Linked DNA regions of Saccharomyces cerevisiae S288C. Changing the gene in region 2 together with the main gene of any one other region gives a genetic interaction. Each region holds a gene or a part of one and is shown on either strand. Other genes may lie near its edges.

Evidence for each region.
Region 1: mutations in SRP102 (region 2) and FMS1 together harm fitness more than expected from each alone (negative genetic interaction), as found in Saccharomyces cerevisiae (one large-scale study listed by BioGRID).
Region 3: mutations in SRP102 (region 2) and GPM3 together harm fitness less than expected from each alone (positive genetic interaction), as found in Saccharomyces cerevisiae (one large-scale study listed by BioGRID).
Region 4: mutations in SRP102 (region 2) and PUG1 together harm fitness less than expected from each alone (positive genetic interaction), as found in Saccharomyces cerevisiae (one large-scale study listed by BioGRID).

The regions. Positions count from the first base shown.
Region 1 is NC_001145.3:308,650-317,403, forward strand, and holds FMS1 (polyamine oxidase), read left to right. Parts: upstream 1-6,727; coding exon 6,728-8,254; downstream 8,255-8,754. Other genes in the region: SPO20 (Spo20p), read left to right, coding at 1-33; PEX9 (Pex9p), read left to right, coding at 1,559-3,103; STB4 (Stb4p), read left to right, coding at 3,507-6,356; MAC1 (Mac1p), read right to left, coding at 8,516-8,754. UniProt on the Saccharomyces cerevisiae protein: Involved in the production of beta-alanine, a precursor of pantothenic acid. Multicopy suppressor of fenpropimorph resistance.
Region 2 is NC_001143.9:157,598-165,596, forward strand, and holds SRP102 (Signal recognition particle receptor subunit beta), read left to right. Parts: upstream 1-4,003; coding exon 4,004-4,738; downstream 4,739-7,999. Other genes in the region: APE2 (metallo-aminopeptidase), read left to right, coding at 1-635; 40S ribosomal protein eS27 RPS27A, read left to right, coding at 1,016-1,018, 1,370-1,615; tRNA methyltransferase RSM22, read right to left, coding at 1,859-3,745; phosphoglycerate mutase GPM1, read right to left, coding at 6,045-6,788; NNR2 (NADHX dehydratase), read right to left, coding at 7,320-7,999. UniProt on the Saccharomyces cerevisiae protein: Component of the signal recognition particle (SRP) complex receptor (SR). Ensures, in conjunction with the SRP complex, the correct targeting of the nascent secretory proteins to the endoplasmic reticulum membrane system.
Region 3 is NC_001147.6:219,494-224,679, forward strand, and holds GPM3 (phosphoglycerate mutase family protein GPM3), read left to right. Parts: upstream 1-3,774; coding exon 3,775-4,686; downstream 4,687-5,186. Other genes in the region: ARG1 (argininosuccinate synthase), read left to right, coding at 1-980; YOL057W (dipeptidyl-peptidase III), read left to right, coding at 1,274-3,409; THI20 (trifunctional hydroxymethylpyrimidine kinase/phosphomethylpyrimidine kinase/thiaminase), read right to left, coding at 4,927-5,186. UniProt on the Saccharomyces cerevisiae protein: Could be non-functional.
Region 4 is NC_001137.3:554,531-562,862, reverse strand, and holds PUG1 (Pug1p), read right to left. Parts: upstream 3,410-8,332; coding exon 2,498-3,409; downstream 1-2,497. Other genes in the region: YER186C (uncharacterized protein), read left to right, coding at 238-1,158; TOG1 (Tog1p), read left to right, coding at 4,183-6,567. UniProt on the Saccharomyces cerevisiae protein: Involved in inducible protoporphyrin IX influx and heme efflux.

The DNA.
Region 1 (8,754 bases), on a different chromosome or scaffold from region 2:
AGATTGGAGAAAGTGATCGGGAAAAGATGGTGATCTGTTATACACACAAAATATCGTGTATAAATATATTGAATAAATAGTTTCTAAAAAGGCATACGCAGATATTCTTGCGAAAGAGAAAAAAAAAAGAGCGAGGGGGACATTAGTACTGAAGGTCTCAATTCTTCTTTGTATTTTCTTTCGGAGTTGTCAGACAAAGCTTTCTCTTTCCCATAAATAAAGTGCATTCAAACATCGGCAGGTTTGTTTTTCCCAGTTGTTACGTATTTGTTTCCCGTTCCATTCATGATCTTAAACTGGGTTAACTGAAAAATCAACATGATTTTGTGAAAAGTAAAAGAGGGTAAGAAAGATAGATACCGCTGTCGTGGGACTATATTTTTTACAGTACCAAGTCTACTTGCTTCTCATAAAGTTGATAAGTTATAATTCATATAATTTCATTTGTCAAAAAAGATTTTAGTTACAAAACGATATCAAAGTTCAATCTTGTTGGGAAAAAGGAAAACATTATGAAGGGTTTCCGGTAATCACTGCGTATGCCACACTATTCCTATAGAATTGTCTTGATTGGGTGCTTATGCTGCGGAAAAATTATATTCTGCGCTTGCCTTTTATATTAAGCGTCACAACGCCCTTACCAAGATCGAGCGGATTAAGACAAGAGTGTATCTCAAGCGTCCGTATATGTTTAAGTTGAAAAGGATATTTAGTAAGAATAATTCTACCCTACAAACGATATTAGTAAAAAAAAAAATCAATAATAGAGTTATTGTACAAACATGTTCTGAAAATTGGAAGCATCACATCGTATGCTACTAGAGAAAATTTTTACTATCCTTTTTTCCACAAGCCCAGCCCTAGCCCGATCATCCTATTAATTGTCAGACCACCGAATGCTATCCCGCCACGGTTGATATAACGAAACTCTTTACTGCTTTGGGTCAAATATGCCTCTTTTCCGCATTTTTTCGGAGTAGTTCATTGCCGCATACATACCGCAACTTGGACGAGGATGTCCTCCTTCTCTTACTTTTTTATTCGTTTCCAATTTGTTTCTCGTACCGTTCAAGTTTCAAGCCTACAAGAAATGTACACGACATGGATGCGTCAGCCTGATTCAGATATGACAAGATTGTTCCTGCGCATATGTGAATATGAGCGCACGCAATACATTGAGATCTTATTTGGGTTTGTAAGTGCAAACTTAATTTACTTTGCTTCCTGCCGGTTTTGATGTGCACCTGGGAACTTAAATAGCCGCCAAAAGAAAAGCAATCAGAGCGGCGCGGCGCAGACAAAACCCGAAGAGTTTCCTGGGAACGGTAGAGGCCTTGGTAGTACCTTACTAACGCCGGAGAGGATGATTGATACGCATTGAAATCGTACAGAAAACTTGGGGCAAAGCGCTCTTACCCCAATATTCTCACCCAAACAGTGGCAATAAATAAAGAAAAGGTCATCACTTTTTTTCGTACTCTTATCCGTTTTATTTTATTTTATTCTTTTTTTTTGAGTGGAGAATCATTAAGAATAAAGGGTACCTTTTGTAAGCACGATGAACGAAGTTACTTGTTCCATAACTGGTGACAACCCAATTCATAAGATCAACAATGGATTAGGCTTGAAATGGAATAATCTGGGTAAATTCTCTGATTTTCAGACTAACGATAGCGCCGCGCGAGATGCTAGAACAATAGATTACATCTTTACCAATTGTCAAACCGGCAGCAGTATTGGTAAGATAGATTTTCGGGCCGCACTACCGGCAGATAAATCTCAACATAGTGGTGTCAGCGAAAAAGAATTTTCAAGACTTGAGAACCAGTGGTCAAAGGAATTCTCTTGTTTCCCCAAGAATAAAAATGCTGATGTGACCAAGCCCAGTAGAAACAAACATGAGAAACGCTCCGCTAATTTGCACAATAGGTACTTTGCACAATATTATAGTACGGCATATCAGCAAAATCGTATATATCCTTGTCGAATATCTTACAATGAACACTCATCTGTTTCTAATGGCTGGGAATTTCAGTTCAAATCAATCGAAAATCAGTTACTAAATGAGCTAAAGATAGAAAACAATGTAGAAGAAAAAACTGTTGGTTATGAATATGTGGCAGAATACGAAGAAACAATTGATTTCATGCATATGCTGTCATCCGTACCACAAACATATCAATTCCTAAAATCAAACATCTACATAACGGAACGGGACCCATATAAAATAGGATGTGTACTAATGGACAACGGTTCCAATTTGAACGAAGTAGTAATGGCCTTTGAAGCAGCCATTTCACAAGATCCAAGCCATATAAATGCATGGTTGAAGTTAGGTATAGTTAATTTTGAAAATGAAAGCGAAAGCAATGGAGAGCTTGCTTTGCGAAATTGCTTAAATTTGGATCCAAATAATACAATTGCATTGGAAAACTTAGCAATTCACCATATAAATCAACAAAATGAATCAGAGTCATTGAAACTTTTTCACAAATGGATTCTTTCAAAATTTTCGAAGGTTTTCCAACCTTCTGCGGGGGAAAACAAAGATAGCATTAATAAAATTCCGAAAAAGGCCCATTTGGCGCATATTCTAGAATCCCTGTTGAATATGGGTATAGAAAAAAAAGATCAGTATGATATATATTCAGTATTATCAATCTTATATTATTCGGATCAGAAAATAAAGCAATCTCAGAAATGCTTAGAGTTTTTACTACTGGAAAAGCCCAATAATGGAACAATATGGAATAGATATGGTGCTATTTTGGCCAATACTAAGTCGTATCACTCTGCGATAAATGCGTACAATAAATGCAAACAACTAAGACCGAATTTTACAAGGGTTCGTTATAATTTAGCGATCGCCTACATGAATAAGGGTGACTATGTAAAAGCAAGCAAAATGCTAATCGAAGTTATACTGTTACGAAGTAAAGGATATGAACACAACAAAGCAAAAATGCAAAACAAATTTATGCAAAATTTAAAAAATGCTCTCATCGCTTCAAAAAATTTTGATTCACTTGATCTAATAAATGGTTCTCATAATACAGAATCGTTAATATCAACCTTAAAAGCTATTTATAACAAAATGGATTAGGTTTTAGTTAATTTTTTTGCTATATAGTGCATTCAAAATAAAAAAAATTAAAGCTGAAACAAACCAAATATGCTATTGGACGTTCGAAAAGCTAATTGCGTAAAGGAACACTAAACACAGCAAGCTTATGCTAGTTCTTCTCAAAAATATAAGTTCCTCTTGCAAGAATATGAAGGTAATTTCACTTTATCGCGCAAGTGCATATTTCTGAGTTTACTATGTGCTTCGTCTGAAACCTCTCATTATCTACTTAATATCGGCTATTCATCTCACGTATTCACGTAATATTTGATTTTTGTACTACTATTTCTCTCTGTCATACGTGCATGATACATTTCCTTGTTCAAATTAAAAGAGTCACCGTCAGCCTCTCAAAACAAAGAAAAAAGATACCCGGCTGAACATGAGTATCAATCATGAAATATATTATATACTTGTATTTGAGCATCGTTCAGTAGCAATCAAGCTCATCATCGTAGTGATTGTTCTCCTTCAGTTTTTTTTAGCACGAAGTCGGCAAATTGATAGGACATGGGCCCATACTAATAGAAAGGAACGGTTCAGAGAAATGACAGCTATCGGGAATACTGATGATGCACTTGATACTAGTACAGCCGCAAGTAAAGAAAATGGAAAAGGTAGACTCAGGGTTCAAAAAGCTTGTGAACTTTGCAAGAAGAGAAAGGTTAAATGCGACGGTAACAATCCTTGTCTGAACTGCTCTAAACATCAAAAAGAATGCCGTTATGATTTCAAAGCTACAAACCGTAAAAGAAGAAGACGACAGGTCGCATCAGCTGTTCGGGACGTTAGTAAGACATATGCAGAAACCAGTGAGTCTTTTCCTAGGGACTTGTTAAGTAAATCAAATATTATCATAAATGCCCCCTCAGATGGTGTATCTTCGTCTGCTAGCAACTCTCCCAATCCAAATTCACATTATCATCATATATCATCCACTTTACCCTTCATGAGCGGTAGGCCAAACCATACATTCCATTCCGGAAGCAACTTAAATGGAGAAAATAACAATAACAGTTTTCCGGAGGATCACATGGCTAAATTACTTCTGCAATTGAGTTCAAAATTGGGGAATACGACCAAGGAATCGTCAATTAGAACAACTAGAACCAATGCTAGTGATGTGAATGCAAACCCGACAGTGGTCAACATGAAAAATAGTCAGGAAGACTGTGACACGAATCACAGGTCTGCAATATGTGACTCTGCAGAGGCTCTTCATAATAACAACATCAATTCTAAAGAGAATAAGATAATCAACTCTCAAATAACTAACACTGTTAATGATCACTTTGAATCACCCTGGCAGACATTTTCTTTAGATAAGTATAGGTTTCACCGACGCTACCAAAATATTCTGCCCTATTACCTTGGTGTATCTATTTTAAAGGATCTATCTCCGCAGACAATAGAGTACGCGAAGTTGAAAAGGCCAAGAGTTCAAAACTATGGTTGGAACTTGTCAGGAGGCCATTACTTAAAGTATAAGGGTGACTTTAGAAGCCAAGAAAAAAATATAAGGCATGAGTCTAAATTTTTCGACTTTGATGACCCTGTTCACTTATCCTTAATCAATAAGTTACTAAGGTATTATTTTGATGAGATCAATCCTGTTTTCAGTATCATTCACGAAGCGACATTTTGGCAGCAATATAACAATAAATTTCTACGGCAAGGTAAACAAAATAATTCATCTGCGAATCTATTCACTTCCATGCTTTATCTAATTTTGTCTACTACACTAAGATTCAGAGAAGGGCATCTAGATGGTCAGAAAGGGCAAGGAACCTACAGTAACACATCCTTAAATATCACATTCGAGGAAAAATCTATTTTGATCAAAAAACCCTCCATAGAGGAAAATTTATTCAAATACGCTTATTTAATAATCAACACGCTGACCTTTGAGTGGGAATCATTCGAACTAATACAATCGTGGCTTTTGATAACCTTCTATTTCAGAACCTGTTACAGACAGACGGCGTGCTGGAACGCGTTAAGTCAAGCGGTGAACATGTGTAATGGGATGAGTCTATATTTAAACAAATTTCCTGAGATCCATTCCACTTATGATGAATCAAAAGCATGGCATTGTTTCTGGTGTTGTTTTATAATGGATAAGTTGATAAGTTTTCAAATGGGTCGATTCTACCAACTATCATTACCCGCGAGCGAGATGTGCGAACAGATGAATCTAGTGAAGTCAAAGAAATTTTTACAAGAAGAAGATGATTGGTTTCACGAAGAGACTTTTCAAATGCTTGATTTGTCCATAATAGTGACACAGTTTTTAAAAAGAGACGCACAGGATTTAAATTTGAACGAGACCGTGCAATTGCGCAGCCAACTTGGTCAATGGTATGACACCTTTATAGTTGGAAGTCAAACCAATGCGTACGACGACAATTATCGTTACTTCTATCAAGTTCAACCATTCATGACATACCTGGATATAAGGCTGACTTTCGAAGTAAGACAATTATTTTGTCTAATCGCCCCCTCATCTACCGCAAATAATAAATCCCTAGAATATGTCGTCGATACTGAATTGTTAATTTCTCATTGTCAAATGGCTATTGAAAATTTGGCTGAAATTACGAGAAGTAATCTTTTCTTTGTTCCGTGGTGGTTAAACCTTTCTCAACTATTCACGGTAAATTTAATATGTATTATCTACCTGCACGCAGGGATTGCCGTAACTCAAAATAAAGCTATCATGCAAAGCTGCCAAGAAATATGGCGAACCTTAGAGTGCTCTAAGCCAAAAAATCGGCCTTCAATGCTTCCTGAGTGCTTGTGGTGTTTGAAAATGCTGAATCATATGTTCTGCATACGACTGAGAGATTCTGCTTTGCAATTGGAAGCTACTCTCGGAACTGATCATGGTGATGACACCCCTAATAGAAATAAGTTTGAGCAGTTCAAGAAAGTTGGCGATAATGATGCGGATGTTGAAGTTGATGCTGGTGAAAGAGAAGAAAATGCTGATGAAAGACAAGAAAATCCACATAACAATAGCAAAAGAGTACCATTAGCTACTAGGTCTCATAATACCACTAACTTCGACGGTTCAATCGCAATTTCTCCGGAAAGTGCAGTAGCAAATCTAGGTACTGATACTGGATTGCCCTCAGATGTTCTTGATACTGTCAGTAAAATAGGGAACTCTCCTAATGTGTTTGATGATGATTTATTTTCCAATTTATTATGGTTTGACCAAAATTTTGCATAAGGATTCTTTTTCTATTCCATAAAACCATTTTATGGACACGTTTACCTACATATTATTATATTGTATATAAGATGTTGAAAAAATTGAGTCAACCTCACCTTACCACATGTTGGTCCGTTGCTATGACAAACTCTCGTTTTACAAGAAGGAGGCTCAAATTTCGGGTCACCCACCCATATACGGATGTCACGCTATGAGATCTTTTAAACAATAGACAATTTTTGGTATCCTAAAGATATAAAAGAGGAGTTTTTTTAAACCATGGTAACTATTTTCAAATTTGCTCTGCTGCAGTTTTTTATTTCTGTTTTTCTTTTTTTGTTCCCAACAAGAAGTGAGTTAATAAAGGCAAAAACAGTGGTCGTGTGAGAATGAATACAGTTTCACCAGCCAAAAAAAAGGTTATTATAATTGGTGCCGGTATTGCTGGGCTTAAAGCTGCATCTACGCTACACCAAAACGGTATTCAAGATTGTCTTGTTCTTGAGGCCAGAGATCGGGTCGGTGGTAGGTTGCAAACTGTCACAGGCTATCAAGGTCGGAAATATGATATAGGTGCTAGCTGGCACCATGATACGTTGACAAACCCTTTATTTTTGGAAGAGGCTCAACTGAGTTTGAATGATGGGAGAACGAGGTTTGTTTTTGATGACGATAATTTTATTTATATCGACGAAGAACGTGGAAGGGTAGACCATGACAAGGAACTGCTTCTTGAAATTGTGGACAATGAAATGAGCAAATTCGCAGAGTTAGAATTCCATCAACACTTAGGAGTTTCAGATTGCTCCTTTTTTCAATTAGTAATGAAATACTTACTACAAAGACGCCAATTTCTCACAAATGACCAAATAAGATATTTGCCACAACTCTGTCGATATCTGGAATTGTGGCACGGCTTAGATTGGAAGCTTTTGAGTGCCAAGGATACATACTTCGGTCACCAAGGAAGGAACGCCTTTGCTTTGAACTATGATTCTGTGGTTCAAAGAATTGCTCAAAGCTTTCCTCAAAATTGGTTAAAGCTAAGTTGTGAAGTGAAATCAATTACACGAGAACCTTCAAAAAATGTGACAGTGAACTGTGAAGATGGTACTGTGTACAATGCTGATTATGTTATTATTACAGTACCTCAAAGTGTATTGAATTTGTCTGTACAACCTGAAAAAAATTTACGGGGAAGAATAGAATTTCAACCACCCTTGAAACCAGTGATTCAAGATGCTTTTGACAAGATCCATTTTGGAGCGCTAGGTAAAGTAATTTTTGAGTTTGAAGAATGTTGTTGGTCGAACGAAAGTTCAAAAATTGTAACTTTGGCTAACTCTACCAATGAATTTGTCGAAATAGTACGTAATGCGGAAAATTTAGATGAATTAGACTCTATGCTAGAAAGGGAAGATTCTCAAAAGCATACGAGTGTTACTTGTTGGAGCCAGCCTTTATTTTTCGTAAATTTGTCAAAAAGCACAGGAGTAGCAAGCTTTATGATGTTGATGCAGGCACCGCTTACAAATCACATAGAATCCATTAGAGAAGATAAAGAGCGTCTTTTTAGTTTTTTCCAACCTGTGCTGAACAAGATTATGAAGTGTCTAGATTCTGAGGATGTCATCGACGGAATGAGGCCGATAGAAAACATTGCAAACGCTAATAAACCAGTCTTAAGAAACATCATCGTTAGCAACTGGACACGCGATCCTTACTCACGCGGTGCTTATTCGGCCTGTTTTCCAGGAGATGATCCAGTTGATATGGTTGTTGCAATGTCTAATGGTCAAGACTCCCGCATAAGATTTGCAGGCGAACATACTATCATGGACGGCGCCGGCTGTGCCTATGGTGCTTGGGAAAGCGGAAGACGGGAGGCGACTCGAATCTCTGACTTACTGAAATAGAATCTATTTTTTCGAAATTACTTACACTTTTGACGGCTAGAAAAGGATATACATACATATTAAAATTTTTAGTAACACTCTGTGCTTTTTCAAAAATTTGAGGTACACCTAATTCTCCCACTTGTTGCTTATACCAAGTTTGAACAATTTTAATGTTAAGCACAATAGATTGGAATATTATCATATGGTGGTTCAGAGAGTAGTAGGGTGCATTTTCATTCCTGTTGCCTCAATGTGTTTTCTATCTGTATTTACGTGATTTTATGAAGTGGTGGCATCGCTTAGATGTGGTGCATAATTAGAGACTAATTTTTGAAACCACGCATGAATGTCAAGTAATTCTAACTGAGCATCTGTCATCAATGGCACTTGCAACTTCAAAAAATCCCACCAATATTTTGACGGCACCAATTTACCTTTGAATTTTATTTGAGTTTTCCTTGTTAATCTTGCATTCAGAATTCCATAGAAAAAGAATTTTTCAAATGGAATTATATTTG
Region 2 (7,999 bases):
AAGTGACCATGTTTGGTGCTGCTTGTGCCGCAAGGGACGCAGACGTTGAAAAAGCTGCTCTAAAAATGTTTACTGATTATTGCAGCGGTAATAAGGAAGCCATCCCAGCATTGATTAAACCAATTGTATTTAACACTGTGGCAAGAGTTGGTGGTGCAGAAAACTATGAAAAAGTTTACAAAATCTACTTAGATCCAATCTCTAACGATGAAAAATTAGCCGCATTAAGATCTTTAGGCAGATTTAAAGAACCTAAATTATTAGAAAGAACCTTAGGATATTTGTTTGATGGCACTGTCTTAAACCAAGACATTTATATTCCAATGCAAGGAATGAGAGCTCATCAAGAAGGTGTAGAGGCTTTGTGGAATTGGGTTAAAAAGAACTGGGACGAACTCGTAAAGAGACTACCTCCTGGTCTTTCAATGCTAGGCTCCGTCGTCACATTAGGTACCTCTGGCTTTACATCAATGCAAAAAATAGATGAGATTAAGAAATTCTTTGCCACTAAATCCACGAAAGGTTTCGATCAAAGTTTGGCTCAATCACTGGACACTATTACTTCGAAAGCGCAGTGGGTTAACAGAGACCGTGATGTCGTCAACAAGTATTTGAAGGAAAATGGTTACTATTAAGAAAAAATCTCTTTTCTAGCCATTTTGCCTTTTTATATAGTCAAGTATCTATATGTGACAAATACTTCTTCTAAGCTTGGCCTTCTGATAGGCTTAGCTTGCAGTGGTTGCAAACATACATAAATCAACAAAAAAGTACGGCTTAAAATTTTGGTATTCATTTATTTCAACCCGTGCACACTGGAAATAAATCTGTACATAACAGCATATTTTGTTTTTGAAAAAATTTCTGTGTTCCTCCGATGTGGGAAGAATTTTAGGATCGGCTAAATTTCGTAAAGTATCAGTAACTTGGTATCTCTGTATAAGCGGAGTCTAATTTCGATAACAAGCAACTTCATCGTAACACCTTCCAACAAAGCAAAGATAGATATCCCAAAATGGTATGTTAGTATCCAATAAATGCAGCGCAACTGGACCAGTGAATAGAACAATACATATAGATAAGTCGCAAAAAGAAAAGAATACATGTGGTGGAAAATTTTGCACCAAGAGAGGCAAGAACTATGAAGAAAGACTTTTGAAATATTTCAAGCGGTTGCTACATATAGTGGATAAGATTCAGGATGGACGTATGAGCTTACAGTTCATTGTAGGGGAATATAAAATTCTGATGATGGCGAACTTCATTCCCAGCAACTCAAGCTATTGTTATTTTTCTATTCTGCACCGAGATGAGGAGAAAAAAGGAAGTTTACTAACAGTTAGATTTATTTCTTATTCGTCTACAACAGGTTTTAGTTCAAGATTTATTGCACCCAACTGCAGCTTCTGAAGCAAGAAAGCACAAATTAAAGACATTAGTCCAAGGTCCAAGATCGTACTTCCTAGACGTTAAGTGCCCAGGTTGTTTGAACATCACTACAGTTTTCTCACACGCCCAAACTGCAGTTACCTGCGAATCCTGCTCAACAATTTTGTGCACCCCAACTGGTGGTAAGGCAAAGCTTTCTGAGGGTACATCTTTCAGAAGAAAGTAATTTCATTACTAGACAGATGAAACGAAATTTACTTCAAAAGAAGAGCATTAATAAAGTGATTCAATTATGGAACCAGCAGGGTAGGTTTTATCATATATAATATACACTCAGTTGTCATCTTTATTGGCTTTTTAGAAACGCTGCAACAAACTGTACTATATATATATCATATTCACGTATGTAGAATATTAAAGTATTGAATATATTAATATTATTACTTTATTTCCAGTTACTTACAATTTCCTATTTTCTATTTACATGTTGTAAAAAATCGTTGCCGTGAAAAGTGGACAATTTCTTCATTACCTCAAAGTTTGAGAACTGATGATCATCAAATTGAAGAGAGTCCTCCAATTCATTATAAGATTCCATAGCCTTTCTAGCTTTTTGACGTTCTTCCTTTTTCAACTGCTTGATTCTCTCCTTTTCTAGCTTGTGGAACTTCTTAACATTCAAGTCTCCCAGCCCTTTAATCTGTGTTTTGGCCGCTGAGGCCCATAAATCACCTTTCTTACTCTTTCTGGCATCGTGGTATATTTGTTTAGAAAACGACCGCGAAACCGTCCATTTTTCAAGTTCTCCTGATGGCGCACATAAATCCATCATAACATGACCTTTACGTTTGACAGGATCATTGATAATTCTAGGCCAGGAATTTTGCGTGTCATCACCCAGTGATCCAATGTCATATTTGCCGTTCACATTTTCATTCCGTAATTTCTTAATTTCTTTCAACGTATTTTCGTCCTTATGTGATCTCTCGAATATTAAATAGGAGTAGTTTAAAATTTCATAGTCACGACCATTTCTTCTTCCCGTTCCTTTTAGCCTCGACGCATTTCCTTGAGAACCATCCCATGAAGTAGCGAGAAGTTTACCCTTCTTTAACTCTATACTGAATTTGGGACGCTTGATGCTTTTTTGAAAATTGCAGAACTTTAAGTCTTTACCCTCTTTATGAGTATAAAAGTTAGGATTTCCAACCTGTAAGGGACATTTCCTTTGATGTGGACAAGGTGCAATCACCTTCAGAAAATAATTACTGGAAATGTTTCCTAATTCAGCATCTTTTTTGCCTCTGACTGTTACTCCCCTAGACCAAGGTCTTGGTATTTTTCCGAATTCATCTGGAAAGTTTTCAGGTCTAAGCGTAATTTGCCTTGCCCTGGCTATAATCTCGAATCCCATTGGGTTGCCTCGTTCAATAATAACAATGTGGCCTCCAGGCGCTAGAATATTTAAGTAGTGCTCAATATTTTCATCCACCTGAATTGGAAATTGATTCCCGTCATGAAGAAGTTGATGCGTTAATATTATGAGGTCATATTCCTTAGATGCGGGAATAGAAGACCGCAAGTTAGTCATAATGTTTATCTTTTTTGTCATCACTTCTCCAATATGTTCATCCTCTTGAAAGTTTTTGTTCCGTCTATCTGTTTCCTGCTCTTTCTCTGTAGACACATTTTCTTCTACAGTATCGACCACCTCGTTAAGTTGTCTGCTCAAAATGATTTTGGCTCTTTCTTGCATCTCCGCATTCCCTAAAATAACGGCATCTTTTAGATCAGGTCTATAATTTGGGCCTAAAATATCATTCAAGGCAACTATACCAGTCGCTGGGCCATATCCAACATCAAGGATTCTTTGAGGTTTAAAATTATCAGGACCTACCCTTTTTTGTAATTCTTTCAGACTTTGGAAAATAGAACCATAATTTTGTAAAAAAATGGACGCTATATGTGCATCCACTTCCATTTTGGTTCTACAGGGACGATGTAATGAATTTGGTTCCTGAATCTCTTTGTAATAATTTGTAGCAACCCTTCTAAGATTATTGGGAATATGTACAGCCATAATATTATTGTTGATTGCTTTGCTTACATCAGGATTCAACTCTAATTGGTCCCGGTACGACTGGCCCTGAAGTGTTTTGGAAAGTAATCTGAGCTCTTTAGAATTAGTTGCTTGAGTGGTGCTAGCGGTTTCATCTCTGTACGACGGAAGAACATTGATTCCTCTTTTATTTGAGTCTATAAAATCCGCCAAATCTAACTTTGGTAAGTTTAAACTTGTGAACTTTGAGCTGAACCGGACATTTTGTGGTAGGATACTGAAGCATCTTTTCATCATTTTACCTAAACTAGACGGGCCACCTTATGTCCTAAAGTGTCAGAGGTTTTGCTGCAATACTGTTCTTAATTTTTCACCATTCACTTTTTTCATCTAGTGGCGGAAAAAAATAAGAGATATGGAAAACAAATATGAACCATCATTAAACTTGAAAAAGATGAGAAGAAAAGAAATAGTTAGGCTTTAAGTGTCTGTATTGATCAATTAATTATTACTTTACCACTGCTGTTTATTAGCATAATAGCACACGGGATCAGAATGCTTAGTAATACACTTATTATTGCCTGTTTATTGGTGATAGGGACAACCATAGCGCTAATAGCAGTGCAAAAGGCATCCTCCAAGACAGGGATCAAGCAAAAAAGTTATCAACCATCTATTATCATTGCAGGTCCTCAAAATTCTGGAAAAACGAGCTTGCTTACGCTGCTAACCACAGATTCAGTAAGACCAACTGTTGTTTCTCAAGAACCGTTATCAGCAGCGGATTACGATGGTTCCGGCGTCACGTTAGTGGACTTCCCAGGCCATGTCAAGTTGCGTTATAAACTCTCAGATTATTTGAAAACAAGAGCCAAATTTGTTAAAGGGTTGATATTTATGGTAGACTCAACAGTTGATCCTAAGAAATTAACAACAACAGCTGAGTTCTTGGTAGACATATTATCAATTACTGAATCTAGTTGCGAAAATGGTATTGATATCTTAATTGCATGCAATAAAAGCGAATTGTTCACTGCAAGACCACCATCAAAGATCAAGGATGCTTTAGAAAGCGAAATTCAAAAGGTTATTGAAAGAAGGAAAAAATCGTTGAACGAGGTTGAAAGAAAAATTAACGAAGAAGATTATGCAGAGAATACACTAGACGTTTTACAGTCTACCGACGGGTTCAAATTTGCAAATTTGGAAGCATCTGTAGTTGCTTTTGAGGGCAGTATTAATAAAAGAAAAATTTCCCAATGGCGCGAATGGATAGATGAAAAACTGTAATATAATTATAATTTATAACTAGATGAACGATAGATAGTTTAAAAACAAGCATTTAACATAGCTCTAGATTCCGTACGCAGAGAAAGACATAGTTGCATCATCGACACATGCAATATCAAAAGTAACTCTTTTTGACTGCTGGTGTAAAAAACACTCACGATGGGGGTCGAACCCATAATCTTCTGATTAGAAGTCAGACGCGTTGCCATTACGCCACGCGAGCTAATATTTGTTTGATGTTCCAGCAGTTATATGATCTAATTATGCGGGAAAATAATTGAAGATAAGTAGTTTGATGTATTTTTATTATAGTATTATATTTTCTGATTTGGTTATAGCAAGCAGCGTTTTTTTTCTTCTTTACCATAATCATTGTACCAGGAAATTTTGTTCATAATTATTGTGTTGATTGTCAATGGTCAAAGGTACAACTAATGAAGATTAAATATGGTGAATAGGAGGCCTGCTAGCCACCGTACATTTAATATGTCCGCGTGTTGGAATAAAAATCAACTATCGTCATCAACTAGTGGTTATACTACCAGTATATTATCTTATATGGTGTCAAATGTGGACATGATGACATAAGGTATGAGAAACTGTCATCGAAGTTAGAGAAAGCTGAAATACAAGGATCAATAATGTAATAGGATAATGAAACATATGAAATGGAATGAGGAACAATCGTGATATTATTATGTAGAAATATCGATTCCTTTTTGGGGATGCCTATATCCTCGAGGAGACACTTCCAGTATATTCTGTATACATAATATAACAGCCTTTATCAACATTGGAATCCCAACAATTATCTCAAAATTCACCAACCTCTCATGGCGCATATTCATCATGCATGTAACTACCACATCAATGTTCAATCATGGACTTTTAACTAATCTTAAGTACTATTCGAACTGCCCATTCAGCTTTTCCCTTTGCAATTGGTGCACTCCTACTTGAACGAATTCGCGGGGTGTACATTAAACTACGATGTAAACATCAAGGTTATTGCTATAACATGTCATGTCACCATTAATTACCACTCATTCCAACATACTGTCCCTGACGAAAACTGTTTATGCGAGCGCAAAATGAACCTATTCAATTAATAATACTCCTCAAATTGCTACCACGACAGGCTGAAAAAAGATGTCGACGAATAATGTAATCGTGTCAAACAAACGTTATCTTGACTATATATAGCTACTTAATTTGAAATAATAAACTATACAAGTCTATATCATTGATATATTCAGTAAGAAAAATGGAGGGAAAAAGAAATCATCAAATCATTCATTCTTCAGACTTATTTCTTACCTTGGTTGGCAACAGCAGCGGCACCAGCAGCGGCAGCTTCTGGGTCCAAGTAGTAAGATGGCTTAGATGGCTTCAAGTTTTCGTCCAATTCGAAGACCAATGGAATACCAGTTGGGATGTTCAACTTAGCAATGTCAGCATCAGAGATACCTTCCAAGTGCTTAACCAAACCTCTCAAGGAGTTACCGTGAGCGGCGATCATGACGGTCTTACCACTCAACAAGTCCTTGGCAATGACATCTTGCCAGTATGGCAACAATCTGTCAATGACCAAAGCCAAAGATTCAGTTTCTGGCAAGACATTTGGGTCAACGTACTTGTATCTTTCATCACCCTTTTGAGAGAATGGAGAAGAAGCGTCGATTGGGGGAGGTGGAACATCGAAGGATCTTCTGTAGGTGTTGAATTTTTCTTCACCGAACTTCTTCAAAGTTTCAGCCTTGTCCTTACCTTGTAAGTCACCGTAATGTCTTTCGTTCAATCTCCAGGATCTGTTGACTGGAATCCATAATCTGTCAGCCTTTTCCAAAGCAATGTTAGCAGTTTGGATAGCTCTGGACAACTTGGAAGTGTACAAGACGTCTGGGTAGACCTTCTTTTCCTTCAACAATTCACCGGCTCTAGCGGCTTCTTGTTGACCCTTGGCAGACAATTTAACATCAACCCAACCGGTGAATAAGTTCTTTTCGTTCCATTCGGATTGACCGTGTCTAACTAAAACTAACTTTGGCATTATTGTAATATGTGTGTTTGTTTGGATTATTAAGAAGAATAATTACAAAAAAAATTACAAAGGAAGGTAATTACAACAGAATTAAGAAAGGACAAGAAGGAGGAAGAGAATCAGTTCATTATTTCTTCTTTGTTATATAACAAACCCAAGTAGCGATTTGGCCATACATTAAAAGTTGAGAACCACCCTCCCTGGCAACAGCCACAACTCGTTACCATTGTTCATCACGATCATGAAACTCGCTGTCAGCTGAAATTTCACCTCAGTGGATCTCTCTTTTTATTCTTCATCGTTCCACTAACCTTTTTCCATCAGCTGGCAGGGAACGGAAAGTGGAATCCCATTTAGCGAGCTTCCTCTTTTCTTCAAGAAAAGACGAAGCTTGTGTGTGGGTGCGCGCGCTAGTATCTTTCCACATTAAGAAATATACCATAAAGGTTACTTAGACATCACTATGGCTATATATATATATATATATATATATATATATATATGTAACTTAGCACCATCGCGCGTGCATCACTGCATGTGTTAACCGAAAAGTTTGGCGAACACTTCACCGACACGGTCATTTAGATCTGTCGTCTGCATTGCACGTCCCTTAGCCTTAAATCCTAGGCGGGAGCATTCTCGTGTAATTGTGCAGCCTGCGTAGCAACTCAACATAGCGTAGTCTACCCAGTTTTTCAAGGGTTTATCGTTAGAAGATTCTCCCTTTTCTTCCTGCTCACAAATCTTAAAGTCATACATTGCACGACTAAATGCAAGCATGCATGATATAGCTCCTGTCAAAGTATCACCTTGGCCTCCTACCCTCTTGTTGCTGCCCTCTTCGCTGTTCGTCAACATGTCTTTTTCACTATCGGGTGAGAATATCTTATCTGACTGACCTTTCTCCACCACAATACAATTCAATTCCTGGGCGATCAAGCTGCCCATCTCGGAGTGAGAGTCTCCCTTCTTGCCTATGGCATCACATAGTCTTTTGAATTCTACCACATTGGGCGTCAAGATCACTCTACCTTTGGGGTAGCTTTTCAGCATTTCTTTGACTTCGCTATCTTGAGTTACTAAGAACAGTCCATCAGCATCAATTACTAACGGGATCTTGCCCTCATGTTTTTCAAGTATATATCTTATGATATCCTTAATGGATTTTAACATTAGGGGGTCCCTACCCAAGCCGGGTCCAATTACCACAACGTGGATTC
Region 3 (5,186 bases), on a different chromosome or scaffold from region 2:
CTGTTATTGCCAAAGCCCAAATTGACGTCGCTAAACAGGAGGGCTGTTTCGCGGTCTCTCATGGTTGTACCGGTAAAGGTAATGATCAAATCAGATTCGAATTGTCATTTTACGCTCTGAAGCCAGACGTTAAGTGTATTACACCATGGAGAATGCCTGAATTTTTCGAAAGATTTGCTGGCAGAAAGGATTTGTTAGACTATGCTGCACAAAAGGGTATTCCCGTCGCCCAAACCAAGGCCAAGCCATGGTCTACTGACGAAAACCAAGCCCACATTTCTTACGAGGCAGGTATCTTGGAAGACCCAGATACCACCCCACCAAAGGACATGTGGAAATTGATCGTCGATCCAATGGATGCTCCGGACCAACCACAAGATTTGACCATTGACTTTGAACGTGGTCTTCCAGTCAAGTTGACCTACACCGACAACAAGACTTCCAAGGAAGTTTCCGTTACCAAGCCTTTGGATGTTTTCTTGGCCGCATCCAACTTAGCAAGGGCCAACGGTGTTGGTAGAATCGATATTGTAGAAGATCGTTACATTAACTTGAAATCCAGAGGTTGTTACGAACAGGCTCCATTGACTGTTTTGAGAAAAGCTCATGTTGATTTGGAAGGTTTGACTTTAGACAAAGAAGTCCGTCAATTGAGAGACTCATTCGTCACACCAAACTACTCCAGATTGATATATAACGGTTCCTACTTCACCCCAGAGTGTGAGTACATCAGATCTATGATCCAACCATCCCAAAATAGCGTTAACGGTACTGTCAGGGTTAGACTGTATAAGGGTAACGTCATCATTCTGGGCAGATCTACAAAGACTGAAAAGTTGTACGATCCGACAGAATCCTCTATGGATGAGTTGACCGGTTTCTTACCTACCGATACCACCGGTTTCATTGCCATCCAGGCCATTAGAATTAAAAAATACGGTGAATCCAAAAAAACCAAAGGTGAAGAGTTGACTTTGTAAGTCCGCTAGTTCATCGCCTCAAGATAGATAACGATCTCTTCCTCCACCTCCTATTTCTGCACACTCTTGTGATGTAAATACATATGTAGACATATGTAAGCTTTTGTATAAATAGTTTAAGAAAGCATCATACCAATTTTGAATAGAAGAAAAAATAGCTAAGAGCATAGCCGCTCGGAATAAGTTGACGTAGCGAAAAATCCCAATATCGTAAAGGAAAAATACCTTCATGAGAACAGAACATTGAAAAGAAGAAAAAAAAAACTGAGCACTGCACCATTAAGTCCTCAAAGATGAGCCACTTTTTCGCCGATCATGATGCTCCTCTGAGCATGCTTTCTGTTAAAACAGAATACTTTCCTCAATTGACTGATAAGGAACAAAAATATGCGCATTTCATGTCAAAGGCCTCCCATGCGGGTTCAAGGGTTGTAATGAGACAAGTTTCTCATGAGAGTGAGCCAATTTTTGACCTAATCCTTGCCATTCATTCAAAGCTAAACGGCAAGTACCCAGAGGACGATATTACGCAGAAGCAGCAAACGGGTTTGTATTTGGAATACGTTTCTCAATTCTTATCTAATTTGGGTAATTTCAAATCGTTTGGTGACACTAAGTTTATTCCTCGTTGTGAGGTAAAATTCTTCAAACAGCTTTTGGAGCTGGCCAAGATTAATCCGTGTTCTTCTCCGCTCACTTTATCTCCTGTTGACGTTAACCATGAATTCACATCTCATCATCTTTTTTCCACCATCAATGAGCTAATTGATATTGGTATTTACCATGTGGAAGAGAAGGCGGCTCTCTTAGGGTTTCCCTCTCAAGGTTATACTTCAGCCTATTATCTGGGTTTACCTGTGACACCTGAAGATATGGCTCTTTTGAAAGAGCAGTTGTTTGCTGAACTTGCCATCTTGCCTGAAAACACAAGAATCAACAAAGTTGGTGAAAACAGTTTCCAAATCTGGGTTGCCTCTGAGAATGTGAAAAACCAGATAACAGAAACCTACCCCAGTGGACAGATCACATTATCCAATGCTGTAACCAAAGTAGAATTCATTTTTGGTGATCATTCACGTGAAATGCGTTTAGTAGCATCGTATTTAAAGGAAGCTCAAAAATTCGCGGCTAATGATACTCAAAAAGCAATGCTTCAGGAATACATCAACCACTTTGTCACTGGCTCTTCTCAAGCACATAAAGAAGCACAAAAACTTTGGGTCAAAGATATATCTCCCGTCATTGAAACAAATATCGGTTTTATCGAAACATATAGAGAACCCTCGGGCATAATTGGAGAATTTGAATCGTTGGTTGCAATTCAAAACAAAGAACGTACTGCTAAATTTTCCAGCTTGGTTAACAACGCAGAAGAATTCATTTCCTTACTACCATGGTCTAAAGATTACGAAAAACCGATTTTCAATCCACCAGATTTCACCTCTCTAGAAGTATTAACGTTTACTGGATCGGGTATACCAGCGGGCATCAATATTCCAAACTATGATGATGTTCGGCTTAAAATTGGGTTCAAGAATGTTTCTTTGGGGAATATCTTAAGCGCGGCTGCCAAAAGCTCATCCAAGCATCCGCCAAGTTTTATATCGCAAGAAGATCGCCCAATTTTTGAAAAATATCAAAGTGATTCTTTTGAAGTCCAAGTAGGCATCCATGAATTATTAGGACATGGTTCAGGAAAGTTGTTGACAGAATTTACAGACGGCTTTAATTTTGATAAGGAAAACCCTCCTTTAGGTTTGGATGGGAAACCGGTGAGCACATACTACAAAGTTGGTGAAACTTGGGGTTCCAAATTTGGACAGTTAGCTGGCCCATTTGAAGAATGTCGTGCGGAAGTAATTGCCATGTTTTTGCTTACTAATAAGAAGATTCTTGATATTTTTGGTTTCCATGATGTCGAATCTCAAGATAAAGTGATCTACGCTGGATATCTACAAATGGCCCGTGCGGGTCTCCTAGCTTTAGAATACTGGAATCCAAAAACTGGTAAGTGGGGACAACCACACATGCAAGCAAGATTTTCTATCATGAAAACATTTATGAAGCACTCTACAGATAAGAATTTCTTAAAGTTGGAGATGAACAGCACGAATGATGATTTTGCCATCAAGTTGGATAAATCTCTCATTAAAACAGCGGGACATGAATGTGTGAAAGACTATTTAAAGCATTTGCATGTTTACAAATGTTCAGGCGATGTGGAACAGGGAAGTAAGTACTTTATTGATAGATCAACGGTGACACCGGATTTGGCGTCTTTAAGAGACATCGTCTTATCTAAGAGATTGCCAAGGAGACAATTCATACAATCGAATTCTTATATTGACGACAATAACAAGGTAACCCTGAAAGAATATGATGAAACCCCACAGGGTATGCTCCAATCTTTCCTTGATAGAGAATTATGATGTCCTTAAGAGCACACGTTTTAATTAGCAACCTTTGCTGTTGCTTTTGTTCAAGCTATTAGATTATGTAAACAGATATATATTATGTAAGTGTGACAGGATACGACAGCACTAACTGTCAGCGAATTTTGATTTGTTACTTTTGCTAGTTTTGTGTGACTTTCCTTTGTTTTTTAACTTTTTTTTTCAGATTTGTATTATGAGATGATAACAATGCGAGATTTCATTGACAAGTTCGATAAAACAATAGAAGCTTCCATTTTATACATATGTGATAAAACAACCTGCAATCGAGGATTTACAATAAAAGTCTCTTTGAGAGGATTGAGAAATAGTGCAAAAAGATCTACTAATAACGAATAGTTATGACTGTTACTGACACTTTTAAACTGTTTATTTTAAGGCATGGTCAAAGTGAATTAAACTCAGAAAACATATTCTGCGGATGGATTGATGCTCAATTAACGGAAAAAGGGAAGTCTCAGGCCCGCCACTCTGCAAAATTGATCAAGCAGTTTTGCGATTCTAACAATATCTCTTTGCCTCAGATTGGCTATACTTCAAGGTTGATTCGAACTCAGCAGACCATGGACGTTATTCTCGAAGAGTTGGGACTAAAACACACCAATTATGTAATTACTACGAATACAAACATTAAGGAGGAGCTGCAGGACACAAGATTTGAAGGAAGTATGCCTGTGTTGCAAACCTGGAGGTTAAATGAGCGTCATTACGGCGCATGGCAAGGACAAAGAAAGCCAGATATCTTGAAAGAATACGGTAAGGAAAAATACATGTATATCAGAAGAGATTACAACGGAAAACCCCCTAAAGTCAACCTAAACCTGGAAATGGTCCAAGAGGAAAATGATCAGGGGTCCTCCACAGGCTATGATTTTAAGGAGCCCAATAGACACTTAAAATACGGCCCCGAAGAGAAGGCTAATGAGCGTCTGCCAGAAAGTGAGTCTCTTTGTGAAGTGGTCGTCAGATTGAAACCATTTTTAAATAATGTTGTTCTGTCTACCGCCAACAAAATCAGTCAAGAATCGTGTGTTATAGTTGGGCATGGCAGCTCTGTAAGATCTCTGCTGAAAGTATTGGAAGGTATCTCAGATGAAGACATCAAAGATGTCGATATTCCCAACGGCATTCCGCTAGTTATAGAGTTGGATAGAGACAATTACTCTTTTGTGAGGAAATTTTACTTGGATCCAGAATCAGCTAAAGTTAATGCTCAAATGGTTCGTGATGAGGGTTTCGAAAAGAATCCATGAATAGTTTTTAAAAATAAAAAATTAGCGCCATTTTTTTCATGGTTTCCTTTTATATTTCCTTCTTTCTTTATTGATAGAATAATGAGTAACGAAAAGCAGCTAAATAAACGTGTTTAAATTTCTATAAGAAGTTTTTATAGATTGTATAACAAAGAAACTTTTTTCTTATTATTATTTTTTTGTTTTTATAATTCATTATATGTAGGTATATCTTTATCTATTGTGCATAAGCCATCTTATCTACTCGTATTCTAGCGCAGCGGTCCAAAAATTTGTTTCTAATTCACAAACTTCAGCGTAGATTGTTACTAAAGTGTCAAGTTGCTCTGGAGGGTATGTTTCTAAGATGTGGTTCAAAAGTTTTTCACCTTCATCCATGGCTTCACGATACCATGAAGATGCGTAAGTTTCACACCATTCGTGGTAAACGGACCCTTCAGGTGCGGTGACTTTACCCTTCATTTTAGTTAAAGCTTCACCATAACCCATCAAACAAGGAG
Region 4 (8,332 bases), on a different chromosome or scaffold from region 2:
TTATTGGTTGACCTTTTTTACCTAAAGGAAAGTCTGAAAATGCTGTTGCAACAACGGCAGCGCCCTGCTTTAAGCAAGGCACGTGGTCCACCAAGAAAATAACTAAGAGGATGAATTCTCCTATTTTAAGCCAGGAAACTAGTCAGTAACATACGCCAAGGAAATGAAAGCATAGGATGCGGGCTGATTACCGAAGTCAAAGGTTCTAGTATATGATCGAGTTCTGTAAACAGTATCATGCTGTGGCATCCTGATGGTTACGAGCCTCGAGTAAAGGCTATAGAAGAAGAAATCTACGCTAACGAAGACAGGAAGGATGTTCCGGATAAGTTTAAATTTGATACTGTAACGAAAACTGGAATGGTCAAGCTTCGTGTTTTCAAAGACGATCTAATATTCAAATCACAACGATCTATAAATCTGTTTGCAAGTAGGAAGCATCCCTTCAAGTCATTTACGGCGGATGGAGAGGGCTTGCCGTTATTTGCCTTCCGCACTAAGAAGCCTTTTTTTGTTAGGCGAGATTATGTGGGTTTTCTTTTTTATCAATACGAGATATTGAAAAATGGGGACTTCCCTGAAGAGTCGGATTATGAGGTAAAAGGAGAGTGCGACGGTTTCACTCTGTTTAAAGTTCTTTTTTGCACTGTTAAGGTGAAGAAAACAAGCTATTATCGCAATAAGGAGAGAATATCCCACATACTAGAGCTCAACTTCGGAAAAAAGGAAGATTTTAGGATATTGACACTGGTTAGATGCTCTGAAATTAGATCAGTATATGTTGTAGAGGATAAAAAGGTTATTATGAAATGGGTTTTCACCTCAGAGAGTAAATTTAATTTGAATTCCTCACTGTTCATCATAAAGGCCGCAATTGGCTGTTTACCAGAGGTGGGTGATAGCATAGAGGACATACCTAAATTTGATTGGGACTCCTGCCCTACTATTGGATGTATGTGCAGAACTAAGGAGGCTCTTTTTCAACCTGAGTCTCGAAAAGATATGCATATATGCCCTCAATTATTTTTAGGGGAAACCGGACCGCCACATTATAATGAGAGTTCAGTTCCGTGGCTAACAAAAATGAATATATGCATTTCAGTGCTAATAAATTTCCTTGAATATACCGATTTCATGTCTTGGATGCAGGATAATTAGAAATTTCTATTTAACACTGCAGAAAACTGTGTTCATTTAAAGAAATTCTTGCGGGTTAATGCTATTATGATATTTTCTGTTGATTTGGTGATAAATTATATTATATGCTATATACTAATTCCTTTGGAAATAAAAGAAGGCCTTAAAATTACCCTGCGGAGGGGACTATTAAATAGAATCATTTATATGAATACTAAGGAGAGTTCAGTATCAAGATAACAACGAAAGTTTGAACTGCTAAAATTATTTTCAAGTATTGCTGACCGTTAAGAAATTTTCTGCTCCATTAATTCATTGAGGCGAAGACAAGCGCACTTTTACTCTTGTGTTTATAAAGCTAAATGACATTGTGGCTCACTTCAATAGCCGTACTCTTTGAACTAAAAAATAATTCTAAGACACTGAGTTTCACGTCAATTGAAAAAAAATATATAACACCAGCTTCATTACATGTTAGTGTGCCTTTAATTTGGCGTTAATACATTCTCCTTGACACATACTATACATTGATTCTGTGATGAGTACCGATATAGGAGGCCGATGTGCTGTTCTTCTAGACGAGTTTTTTGTAGCTAAATGACATAGGTGACTGCTTTAATTTCGTAAAGCACCAAACTTCAAAGGCTCTGTGTACACTCTACAGCCGTGACTGAGAAAAAGGCTAGGTACTTTAAAAATTTCCTACAAATATAGATCAGGGAGGGCAGTACTTAAAGAAGAAACTCCTTCCAAAGGGTCTGGAAATCATTATTAGGGCCGTCATTACGACTTAAGAGCACTTTGAAATCAGTACCCTCTGTTCAACGTGAACAAAAATTTTCGCCACACGACACTTTTCTGGATGGGCGTGATTGTATTAGCTGCCATGGTTCAGTAGTCTTCAATTCAGTGACATACTTTATTGTCATGAGACCACTCAACAGCAACAATATAAGAGCAGAGAGACATTCCAAGGGACAAGAAGATATAAGTTTTGACGTTCAGGAATCTTTTATCCAGTCTGTCTTTATTTGAATGTTTTATTAGACTTCAGAAGTATCCCGATATGTACAAGAATCTTTCTCAACGAGCTACTTTTCTCTTAATCTTGATTGTGTTTGTGATGCCACTTAACAATGCGGAATCTAACGAGTGTTTACAAATATTTTGTTCTCGGCGAAAAATTCAATACATTGCCTTCCTTTTCGGTGCATGATTGTACGGCTGAGAATGGAGAAATAGTACCGCCTAGATCTTTCGTTTTAATGGCTTCAAAGCAGAAGAGGAAAGATTTTTATTCTAAATGAAGTTAAAATTGATTGGCTGCACTACATAGAAATCAAAATTTGATATATATTATCTAATTACTTAACGTTTGACACTCCTTTATAACATCGAATACGTTGCCGAAAAAGGATCCCACACTAAATGCTATTATTACCAATAACATAGGTACAGCATCGAAGACATATATGAAATACTCATGAGAGATTATATAGCCATTGAATCCCTGAATAAATTCAACTATTCGGACAATTGAACGTAGTAGGATCAACATACTGCTTAATAATAGGGTAGCATTCACAAAGATCCACTTTCTGGAAATATCTTCGTAAAATAAGCATCTCCTTTTAACATTTACTGTGAATCTTATCTCATTGATAATGAAAAATCCAAAAAAAATTACCTGTACAAAAAGACCCGCAGTTATGAGTCCTGAACCAGTCTTCGTTGATCCTGCCTTAGACATTAGTCCGCCACCTGCAGCTTGTAAAAAGAAACTAAACACATCTCCCACAACAAAGAAAGTCGTACCAAAGCGTGCAGAAATCAAAATTAAAGATTGGCACCTCATAACATGTAATAACCTTCCAAAAATCATATAAATCGTCGCAGCTATTAGTGCTGGAGCGACTAATAAAAGAACAGATTGGATAATATATGGGGTCGTTCTTTCAGGATTGGAACTGGATAGAGCCCTCCCGATATACCCGACAGCTTCCATGATGCAGCCAGTGAAGAAAGGTATAAACGCAAAAACTGTGGGTGTGATTTTTAGTTGCTTGTATTCAGCATCCTCAAGACTATCGACCTTATCATCAGATGACTCAAATGGATTATTTTTCAATGCCTTAGAAGATTTTCTCGCAGCATATAAAGTTTGAACGGCAAAAATGACTGTCATTATAATGAAGAGTACGACAAATACGATTGCAGCCGCTTTACTTGGCGTATAGTGGTAAAGTACGAACCCCGAATCAGTTGTGGACATTTTGGAACGTTGATGGACAATAAAAGATTAAGTAGCTATGTAATTGGACACTATTAACCTACTATCCTGGACATTTTGAGGCAAGAGACTATACATCCCACAATTGATTCGGTAGGTGCTTTTATACTGATTCATTTGAGGTCTTGGCATTTGTTCAATTGAAGTACATTTAGTTGAAAAGTTGAGATTTATTTAGGATGAGCTTGCCGCGGCATGGGGAAAGAAACACTTCATCCTGTATGGAGAAAAACCACTTTGCCGCGGCACATCAAAACAGGGCTGAAACCTTCAGTATGCGCGATACCATTACACGACAATCGCATGGCTTAGTCATAATAGATCGAGGCGCTCATATACATGGCAGCCACAATATTTGAAGGTCGACAAATAAGGACAATATCAACGGTTAGGATACCGAAACTTGAATATGGCTGGTTTCTCAGGAACAGCCGATACTGTCCTGATCTTAACTTAAGGTGCGGTGAAGTAACCTGGATTCAACGCTGCATGAAAGACCTGATTAGGCTTATTTGATAATCCAACAAAAAAAGTGATTGGTTGGTTTGCTAGTATTCAAAAATAACTATTTTGGAGTACTTTGTTTGTTTGAAAGGCTGGGTAATAATTTTTTTGATGTGTGCTTTGAACAGTAAAAACTTTCTTCCTTTCTATAAGCTAGAAGCAAATCCAAATCTCATCGAATAAGCGCATTAGGTTAACGACATTATTGTTGTTTAAATTTTAAGCTTTTTAGCTTTTTATATTTTATTGAGATGGCAGCAAAAAGAGGATTAGCCAAACAAAAATCTAGGGTAACCAAGGCCTGTGATAGATGCCATAGGAAAAAGATTAAGTGCAACAGTAAGAAGCCATGTTTTGGGTGTATTGGGTCTCAATCAAAATGTACGTATAGAAATCAATTTCGTGAACCGATTGAGGCTTTTTTCAATTATACTGGTAGTCTCAGTAATGATTTGGATAATGCTAAGTGCAGCATAGCAAAATTGAAGGCACAGTTACCTCCAAGCGCACCGGCCTCTTTACAGAAAGGCCTAGCAAACATTTGCACTGAGCTTGAAAAAATACAACCTCAGCTTTACCTCAATCTGGACAGTAAGGAAATTAGCTCGTATGGTGGCCTGAAATCGATAGAAACAGAAATTATCGGGAAACAGTCAAAATCTTTGAATAGGTTCTCCAACGCTTTTGAAAGCAATACTGCACAAAATGTCAGTATGTACTTTGGGGTCTATTCACCGTTGCTATATTTTGCCTCTACGGGTATTAGCTGGATAACTAAAAAATTGATTTCATGTTCGAATGATAGGGAGACGAGAGAAACTATCTATTTATTTTTGAAGTTTCTTGACGCTAGCTCTGCTAGCCATGCTGGTCCTAAAGTAACTTCGATATCTCCTTTAGAGTATTATTCAAAGCTAAACGGACTTTCATGTGGGAACGACGTACTTATTCAACACATTATGTCAAATATATCGAATGAAATCAAAGGAAATACAAACATTAACCAAACAATCAAATTCAATAAACCAACAGACTGGTTTATGTACGGAGTACAATTGATGGAACAGCACCACAAGGCGTTGGATCGTAAAAGTTCCAAAAAATTACTTCCTTTGAAATATTTTCTTGAGCAAGATGAGTTGATTTTTTGTCTCTGTCTTGAATATTTTGAAAGATCCCTATTTTCGACAATGTACGACTTGACTATTTTAAAGGGCTTAGTCTCGTTGATGAAACACAGATATTGGATAGACGATCCTTTTGTGCTGGGAAGAATTATTTCCACGATGTCCAGGCGAAGTTTGGATGCTGGTTTGAATCGTTGGGAATATTATATTGGTCAGGATGAGGACACTGCCGAAGAATATCGTAAGTTATGGTGGGACTGCTACTGGTGGGATAGATGGTATTCATTGGTCACCGGTAAGCAGCCATTGATACCACATGAAATGACTTCGTGTCTCTTTCCCAAGGATGTGGTTGGATTAGGGGTAGATGATTCGATGGACTGTTTTACTTTAATAAACTTGGTGGAGCTCGACCCAAGTAAGTTTGATATTTGTATCTCTTTCGGCTATATTCTATTAACGAAAATTATTACAGCGGTATTCTCTGGTTTGCTTTATAATCGACACTTTACAGACTACAGATTATTTGCAACTCCTAACGCTAAAGACCTAAATGGAACCGCACGACAGCTTATGGTAGAGTTTTCAAAAATATGTAAAATTTTTCAGTGCATACAAGACAAACTAATCCCTTTCCTCAAACAATATTCTGAAAATAGTAATGTATTTGAACTATACACCCATTTCGGATTTGCAAAGGTTTGTTGTTTTCAGGGAATGGAGAGTTTAATTTTAAGGATACAAAATCTTCTACAAGAAAGAGAGAGAATTGAACTTGATTCCTGCGTAAAGGACATCAGGCTTCAAACCTTTGAAGCATCTGTAGATATTTTGACGGATGTTCTCAAGCACGAAGATACGTTCTATATTTTCCGTTGTTCGTGGTTCATATATGCCATCTTGATGAATATTACCTTGAATTTTATCGAGACCCCTAGAAGGAACTCGATATGTTATTTATCCTTGATGTGCCGCATGATAGCCTCATATAATGACTTATTTGTGAGCTCTGGCAATGTTAATTTCAAGGGCAACAACGCCTTCTCTAAAAAGTTGGAAAATGGAACAGCGGTTTCTTTCATCCTAACACGCATCTGCTGTCAGATGTACACACGTTCACAGAAAATGGCTAAGGAATCGCTGTTTTGTGAATTGAAAAAATATGGCCAGGCTTGCTCAGATGCTGGTCAAGCTGCGTTGGACATTGAATGTATCTGGTACAGGAATATTATAGGCGAACACAAAGAATCAAGCTTCCGTAAAGAAATTCTCAGCATTCTTGATAGGGAAATGGGTGATTTGGTGAATAATAGAGTTATTGGCGTACAGGGAAAAAATCAAGAAGGTGCTTGTTATGAGAAGTTGTCACCCAGCAGCACCAGTGTTTCAGTTGGCATGGACTTTTGTAGCCTCGAAAATTTTGTGACTGCAGAATCTCTACCAGACCTTCTCAATCTATTTTGGGAGGACACTGAATTTGGTATTACTAAAGAAAACCTCGGAGAGTAAAAACCAAGTATGCACCTAAACAATTGATCACTTTCAATTAGGAAATAAAATCCCTTGATTTAGACGAATACTGTAGAATGCAATAAAAGGTTTTGTGATTCTAATCTAGTCCCTTACGTTATGCACCGCTTTCAGGAAGGTTATGGGCTGTACCATGAAATCAAAGGTGGCTCATAACTAGTAAGTAAAAGTAAATGTCCTTTTTTTATGCAAGATCTAGAACGATTCGAGTATGGTGTTGATACCACTGTGGTAAGTCTTTCAAGCTACACGCAATTACACACACTCACAAATCTAGTTGTATTTACTCCTTTTATTGTTGCTAGTCTAATTATTCGTCCCACGATTTTATCGTTCTTTGAGTATTTCGGGTCTCAAAAGATTGCTAAATGAAATAACTCTTAAAAATTGCTTCACATAGTCTTGTTGTTACATTCACAATTCACAGCTTTCCGTTGCTCATCGCTTGATAGGAATATATTATGATAGGGATTATCCTGAAAGTTTCAGCAAAACGATAATTACTTCAGCTTTTCTTCGTCTATTTAACCTAGTTTTCCGTCATAAATCCGTTCTCTTAAAAGCACACCTACTCCACTTTCTGAAATAACATAGATATTGAATTTGACTTAGATTCATATATTAGAAAAATCGAATAGTTTCCTGTGCCTAGAAATTCTAAGGTGCCATTCCAGAGGATTTTTATGACAAAGATGAGATGTAAGAATCAACTTTTTTTAATATTTTATATCTTTCATCAAAGAAACATCACAATGTATATTACAAAGTGGAGAAGCATCCAAAATATAGCTGCAGTGAGAATTCATTGAACTGTATCAACTGGGTGGAAAATGTCACAGTCACTTATGGAATTCTATGATTTTATTCAATAGAAAACATTTAGTAAAGCTGGTAACCGACCTTTTTTTTTTACACATTTTTTTTTTTTTTGCTGATTATACCTTGCATTCTAACACCGGGTTCTGATGTTATCACCTACTTTGTATCTCGCATCATTCTTTATTTGGTAGACACGTCCCAAAATGGAGGATGCGCACTAACGAAAATGAAGGATAATGCAGTGAGAATGATAATTTTGATATTGATAGGATCAATTGAAAGCATATCACATGTTTTTTGTGAAATGTTGTATAAGAGATAGCGCTCTTGTTGGGTTTCGATAGGGGGAATGTGGAGTATCTGATGTAACACTGTAGTCTTATTTCTTGTCATAAAGAGGGACTGATTGGGGTGAGGCATATTATATTATAGGAAAAATTGCAGAATATCTAGGTAGTAGTCGCTTCAATAAATTTTTTTCCGACACAAGAATAATGAGACAAATCGGACTATATTTGACGATTAAATAAACCCAAAGCACCCCTATGCTATATGGGGGAACTTTAGAGTAAACAAGGTTGAAATACGTCAATTTGTAATTTCATAAAATACGTGAGGTCTTTTTGTGAGAGATACTTGCCCATTTAGATTTTTGTCCATATCGTGATAATTTTTTTGAGTTTTAATTAATGTGCTCCACCATCACAGAGTGTGTACCAGTGCAACCCACTCAGGGATATGCTTTAAGTCATATATTCTCGCTCTATGGGAACCATAAGCTGGACACATTTCTTGAGGTTATTTAGTAGCGAAAAATGGCGCAATGTTACTCTTTCACTTCTATTATATGGGGCTACAATGCCAATAAGGATTAATGGGTAGCGATTGTGGTTTCTTACCTTTGTGTAGTTGCGTAGGCTTTTTA